Notamacropus eugenii: one gene and its partner. The protein of the gene in region 2 binds, or shares a complex with, the protein of the main gene of each other region. Links are inferred from orthologs where the notes say so. Each region holds a gene or a part of one and is shown on either strand. Other genes may lie near its edges.

What was found. Proteins that work in one complex are often made in the same cells at the same time.
Region 1: the proteins of RBSN (region 2) and RAB4A are in contact, whole or in part, in a crystal structure (PDB 1Z0K), measured with the Homo sapiens proteins. The link is inferred for Notamacropus eugenii from reciprocal best matches to the Homo sapiens genes RBSN and RAB4A. Residues at the interface, in NP_001289307.1 of Homo sapiens: Glu441, Gly442, Trp443, Leu444, Pro445, Ser447, Glu454, Pro458, Leu459, Gln461, Gln462, Asn465, Ile466, Phe469, Asp480, Glu481, Thr484, Leu485, Asn488, Leu492, Glu495, Gln499; in NP_004569.2 of Homo sapiens: Tyr10, Leu30, His31, Ile34, Glu35, Ile46, Gly47, Val48, Glu49, Phe50, Gly51, Ser52, Lys53, Lys63, Gln65, Trp67, Arg74, Phe75, Ser77, Val78, Ser81, Tyr82.

What each region holds. Positions count from the first base shown.
Region 1 is NC_092873.1:388,919,465-388,927,383, reverse strand, and holds the start of RAB4A (ras-related protein Rab-4A), read left to right. Parts: upstream 1-4,867; 5' UTR 4,868-5,214; coding exon 5,215-5,245; intron 5,246-7,919. UniProt on the Homo sapiens protein: The small GTPases Rab are key regulators of intracellular membrane trafficking, from the formation of transport vesicles to their fusion with membranes.
Region 2 is NC_092874.1:431,153,621-431,160,809, reverse strand, and holds the start of RBSN (rabenosyn-5), read left to right. Parts: upstream 1-4,097; 5' UTR 4,098-4,246; exon of another isoform or gene 4,247-4,329; intron 4,330-5,113; 5' UTR 5,114-5,269; coding exon 5,270-5,417; intron 5,418-7,189. UniProt on the Homo sapiens protein: Rab4/Rab5 effector protein acting in early endocytic membrane fusion and membrane trafficking of recycling endosomes. Required for endosome fusion either homotypically or with clathrin coated vesicles.

The DNA of each region.
Region 1 (7,919 bases), on a different chromosome or scaffold from region 2:
AGTGTTGAGAAATAGGAAGGATTTAGGGGAAAAGATAACTAGTTCTGTTTTAGAATTGCTGAATTTGAGATGCCTACAGGATATCCAGCTCAATATATCTAAAAGGTAGTTGTTGATTGAAAAACAGGAGAGAGATTAGGGTTGAATATATAGATCTGGGAATGAACTGTATAGAGATAATGATTAAATCCATGGGAGCTGATGAGCTCACTAAGTGTATAAAGCAAGGTTCTTAATTTGTGTGTGTCTCATAGACCCTTTTGGCAGTATGTTGAAGCCTATGGATGCCTTCTCAGAATAATGTTTTTTAAATGTGCAAAACAGAATACATAAGATAACCAACAAAACTAATTTTATTGAAATATAGTTATCAAAAAAAATTTTAAACAAATTCATGAACCCCAGGTTAATAACCCCTGATACAGAGGGAAAAGAAAAGAGAGCTCAAAATAGAGCCTTGGGGGACAACCACCATTAATGGATATGGCCTGAATAAAGAGCTAGCATAGGACACCAAAGAGTGATCTGACAGGTAAAAGTAGCATCTCAAAAATGTAGAAAAAACAGAGAGGTCAAGAAGGATGAGGACTAAGAAAAGGCCATTTGACTTGGCAAATAGCATCACTTGGAGAAAGAGCAGTTTCAGTTCATTCCAGTGCCTATCCTCTGTTAATTATTTCCTATTTATCCTTTATGTAGCTCATTTGTATGTGTAAGCTTGTCTCTCCAATTGAATTGTGAGCTCCTTGAGGACAGGGACCATCTTTTACCTTTCTTTTCATTTTCAGTGCTTAGCACCATGCTTGGCACAGAGCACACATTTAAAAACGCTTATTGACTGACTTGGATGATGAGGTTAGAAGCCAGACTTCAGAGGATTTAGAAGACAGTGAGAAAGAACATGGAAATAACTAGTATAGACACCTTTCTCATGTAGTTTACATGCAAAGAGAGGAAAGGCATAGGACAATAGATAGCCAGGATGATAGATGGTTGTTTTCTTTTAAAGGGTGGGAGAGATATGAGCAGGCTAACACAATGCAAACAAGAAGTTAGAAAAGAGAACCAGACTAAAGGATGTCCAAAGAAAAAAAATAGTCTGGTCACTTGGCAACAATAATAGATGACTGATGGGTAGCCATGTGTTCCAAGGGTATCTCCATGATGGCAAGAGAAATCAAAGAATTAGATGGACCCACTGGGCTAAAATTATGGGAGGACATGGACAAGATTCACAGGATAGGCAGACATGGATCAGTTGTGATCAGGATCATTGCAGAGAATACCCACATTGATGACACAAACACATACAAGTATTTAATCACAGTTGTGATCCTTATCATTCTTAGTTAGAGACCTTAAGCTCTCAACTATATTCCCTCCCCTTACACACACACACACACACACACACACACGGAAACCAAGCTGTTTCCTATCAAAGACCCACAAGTGCTATTTTTCATACCCATGAATTTCATACTGCCACCAGCTGACTGATGGGTCAACCCTGACAACTATATTATAAGGTATTAGAATGGCCTCTTTAAGGACAGGGACTATGTCTTAACTTTCTCTGTATGCTCAGCCCTTAACACAGTGCTTGGCATATAGGAAGCATGCAATAAATGCTGTGCAGCCTGCCTTAAAGCACCATATAAACATTAGTTATCATCAGCTGCTTACACTCCTCTCCCTTCTATGTTTGTCTCTCGGACTTTGGATAAAGATAGTATTCACACCTGAAAGACTATGGTGATCAGCTAGTCTAACTCCCTTATTTTACAGATGAAGAAAGTGATAGAGCTTATAAGGCTTGCCTTAAGACAAAACCAGGCTTCAAATCCACATCTTCTATCTAAAACCTATTCCACTTTTCACTATACTATGCCAAATCCCTAATCTAACTTCCCCAATCCAACTGATAAACTTTAAGCAACTACTGTGTGCTGGATTCTAATCCAGAAGCATCCACCCATTGCTACCAGTTCACCCCAGGTTAATTGCTGAGGCATCACAACCTTCTCACATCTTTTATCTACTACTACTTGTGACTGCCTAGACAAGTAACTCTCTTATCACTGCTTCCTCACTCTCTAAATTGCCAACTTTTTCAAGATTCCCCATCTAATAAATGATATCTTTCCTAAGTGTAAAAGGGCTAAGATTTTTCCTAATACAGTATCTAATTCATATTCACAGTGACATCGTGTAAACAGCAAATAAATACCTTGTTGCTGTTTATCCTTTGTTTTCTAAGAGGACCACTGACATCACGGACTCATGAACTGGACTGAAGTGAGGCAGAGATGCGCCAAGTCAGGCTCACTCTCTACCTGAGTCATCAAAGTCCAGTGGCAGAACAAAAGTCAGGATGACTGGTGATGGTCCAGGATGCAGTGGATCACCTTGGCATCTTCGATATCTGACCAAGCTCTAAGTGCTTCACAGTGTCTGCTTCAAACTGCCTTCATGGCAGTTGGAACAAATTGTTCTTACTCTCCCATTCCACATACTTGGAGTAGATATCTCCTAATTCACCAGTGGATTTGAACATGGTTGGAGTAGACATCTCCTAATTCGCTGATGGATTTGAGGCTACCCCTGATCTGGTTTAGCCCTTCTGCCTACATGGTTTTACTGTAGTATAGCCTCTATGCATGCTACAGCTTCTTGGAGCCAGTAAATGTCTATTCTATGCTGAAAAATACAGGAACTTGACTCTTATTTCTTGATTTTTAGATACTTCATATTTACCTATCAACTTATATTTGGGCATATTTTAAATTGTAAATACTTTGAGAAGGGATAATGGACTTACTTCATCTTGTTTTGGTAAACACTAAACAAATATCATCTTATAGTGGTGATGATGACAAAGAAAAAATTGTCAGATGTTTTGTGGGGATAATTCTTGTTATCAGTCTGATTTCTTGTAATAGGATTCCAAGGATTTAATTGTCTTATCTATACAGATGATTCCCATATCTATAAAGCCAGCCCTAATCTCTCTCCTAAGAGAGATGGTGGTCCCACATTACCATACTCATAATATCCAAAGCAGAACTTATTATCTTTCCCTCTAAACTTATTCCTTCTTCTAATTTTTCCTATATCTATCAAAGGCACCACCATCCTTCCAGTCATCCAAGTTTGAGGTATAATGTGTGCTACTGAGCATGTGCAAGTTGATGAGGCTCCTAATTAATTAGCTGAGAAAAAGCTGAGCATAATGCTTCAGATCAGCAAAAGGGAATTTTTGAATTGGTTCCAATCACTTTTGAAGAGGAGAAACTCCATGGAGGAGAAGGAGAAAGTTTTTGGGCTAGCAGACATAGGCGGGAAGCCAGCCCCATGCATTTCTCTGGACTTGCTTAACATTCTAGGGATAGATAGAATGAACGTTTTTTGGGTGAGATTATTCTTACTTCCCTAGTCTAAGCTGAGTTTCCTAGCTGAAAAACTTATTCACTCTTATGTATTTTTTGCCATATTTTAGTCTATATAACTTCTCCGATTTCTATTTGCTATTTACTTGGATAAATGGATTTACTCACCATTTGCTATTTGTGCCAGTCTTTTGTGCAATGAGTATTTGGTGAGAAACTGGAGAATACAAGCTAAGGGTTACAATCTCCCTTAAGAGCAACCATGAAATTGACTTTCCTTTTAAACTCATATACCTGATATTTGAGAGGGTAGCAGATAAAGATGATTCTAGCCTGATACCTCTCTTGGAGACTAGAGGAGAAATTGACCAGCTGTCTCAGACCTTGCCTGTTCCTTTCTCCAGCTAGCTTTGGGGCAGTGCAGGCAGGGCCTTCTGCAGCCCACAGATCACATCAATGCATACCTATGAGCACCTCTGCATTTAGGCCACCTGCATGGGAACCTACATTAACCAACAAACTTGAATAGCTCCCTAAATATGCCTTGAAAGCTCTTCACAACTTAGCCTCAACCTAACTTTCTAGCTTTCCTTACTTACACTGTGGCCTCTACCTCATCCAAGAAGCAAACTGGACAGTCTTTGTACACTACATATCACCCTACTTTTGCACTTGCTGGAAAGCATTCCCTCTTTAATGCTACTTCTTGGAATTCCTTGCTTCTTTCATGACTCAGTTTAAGTACCACCTTCTACAAGAGGTTTTTCTGGATCCACCTCCCCATCCGTTAGATCCTTCTCCACCAACATAATTTTCTATCTATATATTGTTAACATAACTGTATATGAACGTGTCGCTTCTCCCCTCCCCCCATCCTGGATAGGGGCTGTTTTCACTGTTATCTTTTAATTCCCAATGCACAGCACAGTGCCTGGCACACTGTGGACAATCGATACGTGTACGTGAAGTACAGCTGCATGGCTACCAGGGCAGCAGAGTAAAGACCAGAACGTGCAAACACTTTGTTGAGAGAGTCAACGTAAAACACGCGGGACGCAGAGTGGAGCAAGGCAGGGTCCTGCCCACGTCTCGCCTTCACACAAACCTCCTCCTCACCTGCGCACCTTTCCCAGGAGGAGCCTCGCCATCCTTCCTAGCAGGGTATTCTGCCCCTGTCAGTCACCCACCTAGGGAAGGGTCACTCCCCCTCAGGACTCCATCTCTGACCTCGGGCACTCGGAACTTCCGCCCGGGGCGTGTACCATGCGCCGCCCCTCCCTCCCTTTCCCCGAGTCTCCTGTAGACGGTCGGCCCCGGATGGAGTTTCGCGCACGTGCTCTTTGTTTTGGTGATCCAGGGCTTTCGCGGGCCGCCCCCAGGCCCTCCCGCGCCCAGTGCGCAGGCGCGAGAGAGGCTGGGCGGTCGGGCTCCCCCGGCTCGCGGTCTCCGAGTACTACCTTCCCTCCACCCCTCCTCTCCTCCTCCCCGCCCCAGCCAGGCCCCGCCCCTCCCCGATCTCTCTAGGGGTGGGAGGGAGGGGAGGGAAGAGAGGGAGGTGGGTGGGCGGTGTGCGCCTGCGCGGAACCCCGCGGTCCGGTCCTGAGCAGGAGCGGCTCCGGGGTGGCTGGCGGTTGCCGTGGGGACCCGGCCGCGCCCCTCCTTCCCCGCCCACCCCACTCCACCCCACCAATTCCTCGGACTCCCCAGCCCCGGTCAGACCTCGCTCTCGCCACTGACCTCCCGCTCCTGCCCTCTCCCTCACCCCCCACCCCCCGGCCCCCGAGCTGCAGCCGGAGACCGGGGGAAGAGGCGGCGCCCGCTTCCCAAGATGTCGCAGACGGCCATGTCCGAGACCTACGGTACGGGGAGGCCGAGGGAGCGGGGGGCGCATTCCCGGCGGAGCCGGGGCCTCCGCGTCGTTGGGACGTTAACGGCCGCCACGGGGACCGTCCCCCCCGGGCCGGAGCGGCGCTGCCGCGGGGGGAAGGTGGGGAGGTGGCGGCGCGCCCGGGCCTGGGGCCGGGGCCGTCCGAGGGACCCCTCCCCGGAGCTCCTGGCGTCGTGGGGGGCGGGGGAGGCCCGACCGCGAGAAGGCGAGAGACTGGGCGCGCGGGTGCAAGAAGGGGTGGCTGTCCTGGGGTTTGCACCCCCGGATTCCCCTGATGTGGAGTTCTTAAGTTTATCTCTAGTTTTGCTCCCGGGCTCGTGGCTCCCCCGGGTGTGGAAAGCCAGTCTAACCTCTGCTGGTCCTATTGGTGCCCCCAGCGGGGCACCTGAGTGGGGGGGGGCGTCCTGGGGCCCCAGGCTATTCTAGAATGAATCTACCCCCCCCCCCCCCAGTTTTGTGTACTCCTCCCGTCATCGCCCTCCACGTGCAGAGCCTTTCCCTACATAAACTGTGATCAGTGTCTCCAAGTCTCTTTCGCATCTTGAAGGAATTGATCTCTTTGATTAGCCACCTGTTCAGGTAGACCGTCGCACTTTGGGATTTGGATTTTTGGATGATGTTCAACAGTAGAGAATTTGCCATTGTCAGATAGTCTAGGGGAGACCTGTTCTGCAACCACTTTATAGGATTATAGGGTCGTCTGGGTACTGGGCTGGCACATTCACCAGTTACCGAATTGCTTTTAGTTCGCTGTATAATGTTCGACTCTTAGAAGGCGGAGGAAGAATTCCTGCTTATATCCGGTAGTTACTTTGCCCTATATTAGTTTCTGGTGCTGTTAGAGGTTGTGATTGAGTGATCCAACTCCTGTCTGGATAACAGGCTGGTGGTAGATTCCACAAGTAAGCTTTTTTTTTTTTTTTTTGCCAACTAACATGGATTGGTTCTGTAATTCTTAGCACCCTCTTCCCACCTTCTCGGTGGAACTACAAGACTGAGAAGCACTCTGATATTTTTATGTTTCGTCGTGGATCACAAGATTTAGAACTGGGAAGAACCTAACAGGTCATCTACAACAGCCCCCCCCCCCCCTTTTTTTTTTTTTTTTTACAGAAAAGGGAGCTGAAGCCAAGAGAAGTTAAATAAATTGCCCAGGTTCACACATGTACTAAACCTCAGAGGTGGTATGTGAGCTGAGGTACTCTGTGGTTTTTCATTACACTTTGTAGTCAATCAAAAATATTTTCTTCTTAAAGAGGCCAGCCTCCTAATGATAGCTAAATTAGTTCTTAGCAGACCCAGAGGAAGGCATTCACTACATTGGAGAGATCCTCTATGCAGAATTTACAGAAAGACTTGGACAAGAATTGCACAAGATGAGAAGGTGTAGGTTGCATTCTTAAATGAATGAGATCTTAGATCTTTTAAAATAGTCTTAATTTACTTACCTTTAATTCTAAGTACTACATTTTTATTGAATTGAGTCAAAGGGTATTAGGAGTAGGAGAGTCGAAGTGAAATGATAATGTAAATTATGAATGATTTAGTGAAGCAAAGATGGAGAAAGAAGGGAGGTTCCAAAGGAAATACAGGGATTATTTTTGTTCTTACGTAAAAATTGAGTACAGTACTTCAAATATAACTAAATCTCTTCCTTTACTCCTGTCATGTTTAATTGAATTTAGATGTAATATTTGCTATTTAAATTATGTACAAATCCATCATTTCATATTCATATTTTCCTTATCTACTATCACCCTTATAATCTATAATTTACTTTTCCTGTTTGCTTTTTTACATTAGAAAATGAGTTTTGAAAGGGAAAATAAGGTGGTTGAAAATGTCATCTAGAAAATAGCAAGTAAAAAATGTTTAAGTTCCTGCCTTAATATTGCCATTAATGGCATAATATTAGGCAAAGAAAATAAAACAGGATTTTTTTTTTCCTGGGAAGTTATCATCAAAAAATTATAGGGTCATAGATCTAGGGCTAGAAGGAACTTTGGCAATGAATTTCCATCCTTTTATTTTACAGATGAAGAAATTGAGAGCCAGAGGAAGCTAAGTGATTTGCTTCAGGTTACTAGAGGTTGTAAGCATGAGAAGTACTTACTAGAATTTGTTAAGTGCATACTCTGTGCCAAGTAATGTGCTAAATTCTGTAGATATAAGAAAGGTAAAAAAAACAGTTCCCGCTCTCAAGGAGCTCATAGTCTAATGAGGAAGACAACATACAAACAACTCTGTATAAACAAGGTATATACAGGATAAGTTGCCAATATTCTCATAAGGAAGGTACTTAAGTAGGACTTGGGAAGGCTTCTGGAAGAAGCCAGGGAACCCGGGAGGTAGAGTCGAGGAGGAAGAAAGCTTCTGAACACTGGGGACAGCCAGTGAAAGCACTCAGTGAAAGACTTTATTGAATGGGAGTGGGGAAAGTGATATGGACAGACCTGTAGTATAGGAAGATTATCAGTTTGCCAGCTGAATGGTGGTAGTTTGGAGTGGGGAGAGACTTGAAGCAGGGAGAACAATCAGCAACTATTGCAATAGCCCAGGCATGAGATGATGAAGGCCTATTTCAGGATGGTGACAGTGTCAGAGAATAGACCAGGGTATATATATGAGAGATGTTAGGAACATAG
Region 2 (7,189 bases):
AGCAGAAGAGATGGAGACAAATTTATGAGACTCTAGGCCAGAAATGAAACTGACCAGTATGTGTACATGTATGTACACACACACAGAGTTATGTATGTGCATTTATACATATGCAACTACAATTATACATAAAACTATGTAACCGTATATCTATTTATAACTATATAACTACCTATAATATATAACTATATACCTATATACCTGTATATATAACTATAGATTTATAGAAACCATAGAACAAATATAACCATATAACTACAAAACTATGAATAACTATATACCTAAATATGCCCGTATATTTACATAACTATGGAGCTACATAACTATATATAACCAAATAAGGACTACTATATAACTATATAGGACTATATGTAATTAAATATCTATACATAATTACATAATTAGGTAACTATATAACCACTGCTATATAATTATATATACATAGGGTCAGCTGGGTGGCACCGTGGAGAGAGCACTAGACTTTGGAGTCAGGAAAACTCCTCTTCATGAGTTCAAATCTGGCCTGAGACACTCACGAGCTGTGTGACCCTGGGCAAGTCATTTAACCCTGTTTGCTTCAGTTTCCTTGCCTGTATAATGACCTGAAAAAGGAAAAGGCAAACCACTCCAGTATCTCCACCAAGAAAACCCCAAATGGGGGTCATGAAGAGGTGGAACTGACTGAACAATTAACTGCATACACCTATATGTAGGACTATAGATAATTATATGACTACACCTGAAAATATATCTAACTATACATATCTATAGAGCTATCTACAATGACATAACTACATATATATATGTATATATATATATATATGCTTGTATACCTACATAACTATAACTACAATGACATGGACTAGATTTATATATAACTCATTGGTTGTTCTCCTTCATTCTTGGAGGACCAAAATGACATCACTGTGATAAAGTCAAGTTTCAATATGTCCGACTGTGGCTGATCAGACCAATACAAGCTCAGAATACCCTACCACACATTGGGCACAGATAATCTGTGTGAACATTTGGAGTGTCTACTCCAAATTTGTGAGTCCTATGTTTCCTTTGTGCTGTTTCAATTCCTGTGCCCGTGTCTCACATGTGGCACACTCAAATCCAAAGTTCTTGACAGAGACCTTGAGGGTGTCCTTGTGTCGTTGCTTCTGGCCACCATGTGATCACCTGCCCCATGCAAGTTCTCCATAAAATAGTCTTTCTGGCAAGCGTACGTTTTGCATTCAAACAACATGGTCAGACCATTGGAGTTGCGCTCTCTGAAGCATAGTTTGAATGCTTGGCACTTTAATTTGAGCAAGGACCTCAGTGTCTGGTACCTTATCTTGACAGGTGATCTTCAGAACCTTCCTAAGATAGTCCAAATGGAAGCAATTCAGTTTTCTGTCATGGCGCTGGTAGATTGTCCATGTTTCACAGGCATACAACAATGAGGTCAGCACAACAGCTCTGTAGACCTTCAGTTTGGTAGTCAGTCTAATACCTCTTCTCTCCCTTAGTTTTCTTTGGAGACCCCCAAACACTGAGCCAGCTCTGGCAATGTTCATGTCAATCTCATTGTCAATGTGTACATCCCTGGAAAGTACACTACCAAGGTAAGTGAACTTATCCACAGCCTTCAAAACTTCTTTATTTGTTGTAACCAATGGTTCTACAAATGGATGGTGTGGTGGTGGCTGATGGAGCACCTGTGTTTTCTTGGTGTTAATTATTAGGCCAAAATTAGCACAGGCAGTATAGAATTAATCCATACTTTGTTGTACGTCAGCTTCAGAGACTACATTGAATGCACAGTCATCTGCAAACAGAAAATCATGCACCAACACTCTCTCCACTTTGGTCTTGGCTTGTAGCCTTTTCAAATGGAAGAACTTATCATCAGTATGGTAGTTGACCTTGATGTCGTGTTGATCCCCACTGAAAGCATCTCACAACATGGCTGAAAACATCATGCTAAAAAGCATGGGAACAACTACACAGTCCTGTCACTCCTTTGGTGACTGCGAAGGCACAAGAGCATTGTCCACTATCCAGAATCCGGGCAAACATGCTATCATGAAATTGATGTGCAATACTGATGAACTTCTCTGGGCAACCAAATTTTGACATAATTTTCCACGAGCCCTCATGACTAACAGTGTCAAAGACCTTGGTCAGATCTATAAATGTTGTATATAGACCTCTGTTCTGCTCCTGGCATTTGTCCTGGAGTTGTTGGCCAGCAAACACCATGTCAACTGTTCCTCAGCCCTTTCTGAAGTCACACTCTCAGGTAGATGACCATCTTCCAGGTGAAAGATCAGCCTATTAAGAAGGCGTTAGCAAGAACTTTGCCAGCAACGACTAAGAGAGAGATCTCGCTGTAATTGTCGCAGGACAATCTATTTCCTTTTCCTTTATAGAGATGGACAATGGAGGCATCCTTGAACTCCTGGGGAATAACCTCCTCTTGCCATATAACCTGGAAAATTTCAGTCAGTTTTTGTATGAGCAATGGTGTCCCTACCTTGTAAATGTCAATTGGAATAGAATCAGCATTAGGTGCCTTGCCACATGAAAGGAGCCTAATGGCTCTCAAAACCTCTTCTTCAGTTGGAAGTTCAACTAAGGAGGGATTGACTTCAACCTGAGGCAAAGGGTCAATGGCCTCATCATTGACTGATGATGGTCTGTTGAGAACACTAAGGAAGTGTTCAGTCCATCTCTCTACGATCATGTCCTTATCACTAATCAATGTGGCTCCATCAGCACTGAGTAGTTGTGATGCACCATAGGTTTTTGGTCCATAGATAGCTTTCAGGGAATCATAAAAGCACTTTGGATTGTTACTATCAGCATAAAATTGAATTTAATCTGCCTTCCTACTGAGCCAGGAATCCTGCATCTCTCTAAGCTTTGCTTGTACTTTACTTTTGATGAAATTAAATGCTGCCTTCTTATAGCTGGATGAACTATCCTGCTGGTAAATCCTATGGAGTTCTCGTTTTTCGTTTAGCAGCTTCTGAATTTCCTCATTATTTTCGTCAAACCAGTCTTGGTGTTTGTGAATATTCTGACCCAGAAGAGCAAATGCAGTGCTGTACACCAAATCTCTGAAAGCTGCCCACTCCTTTTCTGCTCCACTGTTGCCAACTATGTGTGGCTCAACTTTCCCTCCAAGTTAGCAACAAACTGTTCACGCTCAGAGAACTCTAATTTGTTGACACTAATTCTTCTGGTAGTCATTTTTCCTTGGGGTCAGCGGTTTTGATGAATGTGAATATTTGGCTTGGAAAGGATAAGTCTATGATCAGTCCAGCACTCTGCACCACACATTGCCTTTGTCACTCTCACATCTTGTCTGTCTCTTCTCCTTACAATCACACAGTCTATTAGATGCCAGTATCTGCCGCAAGGGCGCATCCATGAAGTTTTATTGGTTTAGGTAAAGGGAAGACAGTATTGGGGATGAGGTCATGTGATGCACAAGTCTTCAGCAGCCAACGACCATTGCTGCTGCTGTTCCCAGCTCCATTCCTCGCTAGGACTCCCTGCCAAGTCTGATACATGTATACGTACATACATATACACACACATACACACATGTCCTACAACTATTACAACTGTACATCCGTATAACTCCTTGTAACTGTAACCCTCTCTAGGTATGCTTATTTACTTACATGACTAGAAGTACAGCGGCATGACCATATAGGACTGTTGTGATGTCTACATAACCGCCCCCTATATACAATTGCAGAATGACATAGAGAACCTTATATAATTAGGATATGACTCTATAACCTAGATGTAATCAATGAACTACACAAGGAGAACCCATGCCCACTTAATTACAGATGCCTGTGTGTGTAGATCTCTAACAGGAGCGGGGCGGGGGGGCTGTCTTTTGCTCTGCCTTGCCCCTGGGGGGCGGGGCCGGCGGCGACCACAAGCCTGGTCTCCCTCTTCCCCGCCCTCTTCCTTCCCCACGCCTCGTCTCCAATTCTCCCGCGGCGCCTGCGCAGAGGCTCAGCTCACGCAGACACTAGCTTCGCTCCCTCCCTGCCTGGGGTGGCTCGATAACTCGGTGCTCGATGAATGCGTCCCTGCCCTGCCTGCCGCGCAGGCTCTCTTGCCGAGGGCCGAGGGCATGGATGCGTGATGGCCGCCCGGGCCCAGTGAGGGGAGAGAGGCGGAGGAGGGGCGAGCCCCCGGCCCCGTGGGCGGCACTGGTCGCAGGCCTGCAGCGGTACTGAGTGCGCCCCTTCCTTCCGCCCCGCATCGCATCGCGGGCCGTTCGGGGAGGGAGGAGGGACCCGCGGGGGGCGGGAGGTGAGGCTGGAGGGGGGGAGGGGAGCTCTGGGAGGAGAAAGGGGAGGGGGCGTGTCGGCGCGGGGGTGTGTGTGTGTGGGGGGGAGGGTATTTATTGTGTGTGTGTGTGTGGGGGGGGGGGGGGGTCCGTCAGTCACCCCTCATTCAGCGCTGCAGCCTTCCCTGGGCGGATCCTGGGGAGGGGGTGGAGGTCCCTCGGGGACCTCCGTGGGAGAATGGGGGGCCCCCCCTTGGCCGAGGTCCGGGGGTGCTTCGCCTCCAGCCTCGCGGCCGTGGGCCTAGCCCGCCCCGGTCCGAGGGGTCTGAGGCCGGCCGGGGCAGACTCCGGGCCCCCGGAGGCAGAAGGGGCTCCCCGGGCCCGCCGCGCTTCCCCGAGCGCTCGGGGTGCGGGGTGCGGGTGCGGGGTGCAGGCTTAAGCGCGCTTTTATCTTTCCAAGTTCCAGGTGCTTTAAGAATGTGTTTCTTACTGAAAAAGCCTTCCTCTTATTTATTTGGGTGGGGTCAAGTCCACACCAGGGGTTCTCAAAAGTGGGGTCTGCTGGGGGCCCCCAAAACCTTTGGGACTTGGAGGCCAAAACGACTTTGGCGACAGTGCCGAGACTTGTAAATGTCCAGTTACAGTAACTGTCGGTGCAGAGCACGCCCAAATCAAAGCTCTTGGGGGGGGGGGGGGGTCCTTGGGGCACAGTGGGAGGCCGTGCCCGTGGTGGAGCTTGCCCCGAGTTCAGATGCAGCCCAGGTGTCCGGCCCCCTCTCACCTGGCTTTCTTCCCGTTTATTTGCAGGATTCCTTCTGTGGCTGACCAGAAACCCCCCCCGGGGGGCCATGCCCTTCCCCAGCCTCTGCCTTGTGTAAGCCGGCCCCGGGCGAGCTGCGCTGCTGAGAGGCCGGCTCCCTCCTGGACATGCAGTGACCTGTCCTCTGGAAGTGCCAGGCCACCATGGCCTCTCTGGATGACCCTGGCGAGGTCAGGGAGGGCTTCCTGTGCCCTCTGTGCCTCAAGGACCTGCAGTCTTTTTACCAGCTCCAGTCCCATTATGAGGAAGAGCACTCCAGCGAGGACAGGGATGTCAGAGGGCAGATAAAAAGTAAGAGGCCTGCCCGCTGGGTGCACTGGGCTGCGGGGCACTGCGCAGACAGGCTGCCTGGAGAGTGGAATCCCTCGGCCACTTTCCTGATGTTTTCATCAGTGACAGCTCGCACGCAAGAGGAAATGAGATGATAGTTTTACACTAAGAGTCTGGATAGGGTAATGATGGGGTTTGGGGGAAAGATAGGGTGGTGATGGGAATGCAGAAAAGGCAGATATATTCCTGAGCGGAACATAGGCAGCGTGGCACAAGGGATAGGAAACTGGCTAGGAGACTGGGCTTCAGATATCCAAAACAGAGAAGTATTAGGTAGGGTCATGAAGCACAACTGGACCAGACAGAATTGCTGGGAGAAGAAAAAAAGGCTTTGAAAATATGATCAGTAACATCCTTCATGTGGCAGTTTTGGTTTAGGGCCCCTAATGCTGGTTTACAACGTGCATCTCTCTGCTCTACAAAGAAGTATGTAGTGATGTGTGGATGCTAGCAGTTTTTATACTTTATACAGCAGGTACTTCTGTAATATTCATTCACTGGTCAGTGATGGTGTGAATGGGGCCTAGGGTTTTATATTAGACTGCTAGTAAGATTTATTCTCACAGTATCACCTGTCTGCTTCCTAGTGTCATTTTTGTAAAATTTACTCAGAACATCCTAGTATTTTTTTGGGAATGTTAGGCAAAAAAAGAAAAAAAAACCTCTTAGACAGTTTCATTTATACTCTGCCCACCCCTCCCCCCCAAAAAAGTTTGTTTATGTCTACAATGTATTTCAGGTGATTTATTTAAAATAGATGAAATGAGACATTGTTCCTTTTAAAGGAACTCTGAGAATTCTTAAAATGTCCTCCATTTTTCCCATTTTGGGGTTTTTAATTTTATGTAGTTAAAAAGTTAATTTGTGAAGTCCCCTAGAGGTCCCAGGGAATCTTTTATAGGATGGAGAGGATGACCTTTGTATTGACCTAAGTTGACAAATGTTCCAGTCTTAGAAGCTAACAATAACATTTTGAAAATATGACACCAAAGATTAATGAAAAGCCTTGTCAGAGTATACCGCATTTCTCCCTTATATCATAGCCTTCATGGTGCTAGCTTAAGGAGGCTAGCTTAATAACAGATATTGAACTGAAAAGAGCTAATTTTGGATTTGGGACATCTGGAGTTTATGGAAAAGTTATGTGGCTAATATCAGTTGTTAGTTAAGAAAACATCCTTGCTGTATGGATCTTTGGGTTTTGATTTATTACCATGGACCTACTTATCATCAGAATGATAATTTTACTTAAATAGGGGAAGGTGTGGTTGAGAGTTGAGATTGGCCTCTCAGTTATTTCAGAAAAGATTATTTAAAAATAAAGACAGAATTATTCCTAATTAGTTTCCTGATGAAGGACCACACCCATTTTGAGAAGTTTGCCAGGAAGTACTTTAGTGACACTCAATAGAAGTTAAGTGGTGCAGTCTTTCTAAAGTGGCGCCCTCTAGCTGAGTTTGCAATGTGCATTAATATTTCCAATTTTCTGCCTGGCAAATTTCTGTTCATTTCATCCTATAACCTTTACTCCATTATTAGTAAGGATGACTTCAATACTTTTAAAACAGCTTTTTTTCCACCTGCTTGAAAAAATACTGTAGAGTAACTGCCTGATTAGCATCACTACATCAGCAAAGAAGTTTCCATGCCGTTATCAGTCATATCTGCTTTACCAGCCAATCAGTTCATAGCTGCCTTTACCCAGGCTTCAGAAATTCCAGTGTTTTGCTGAA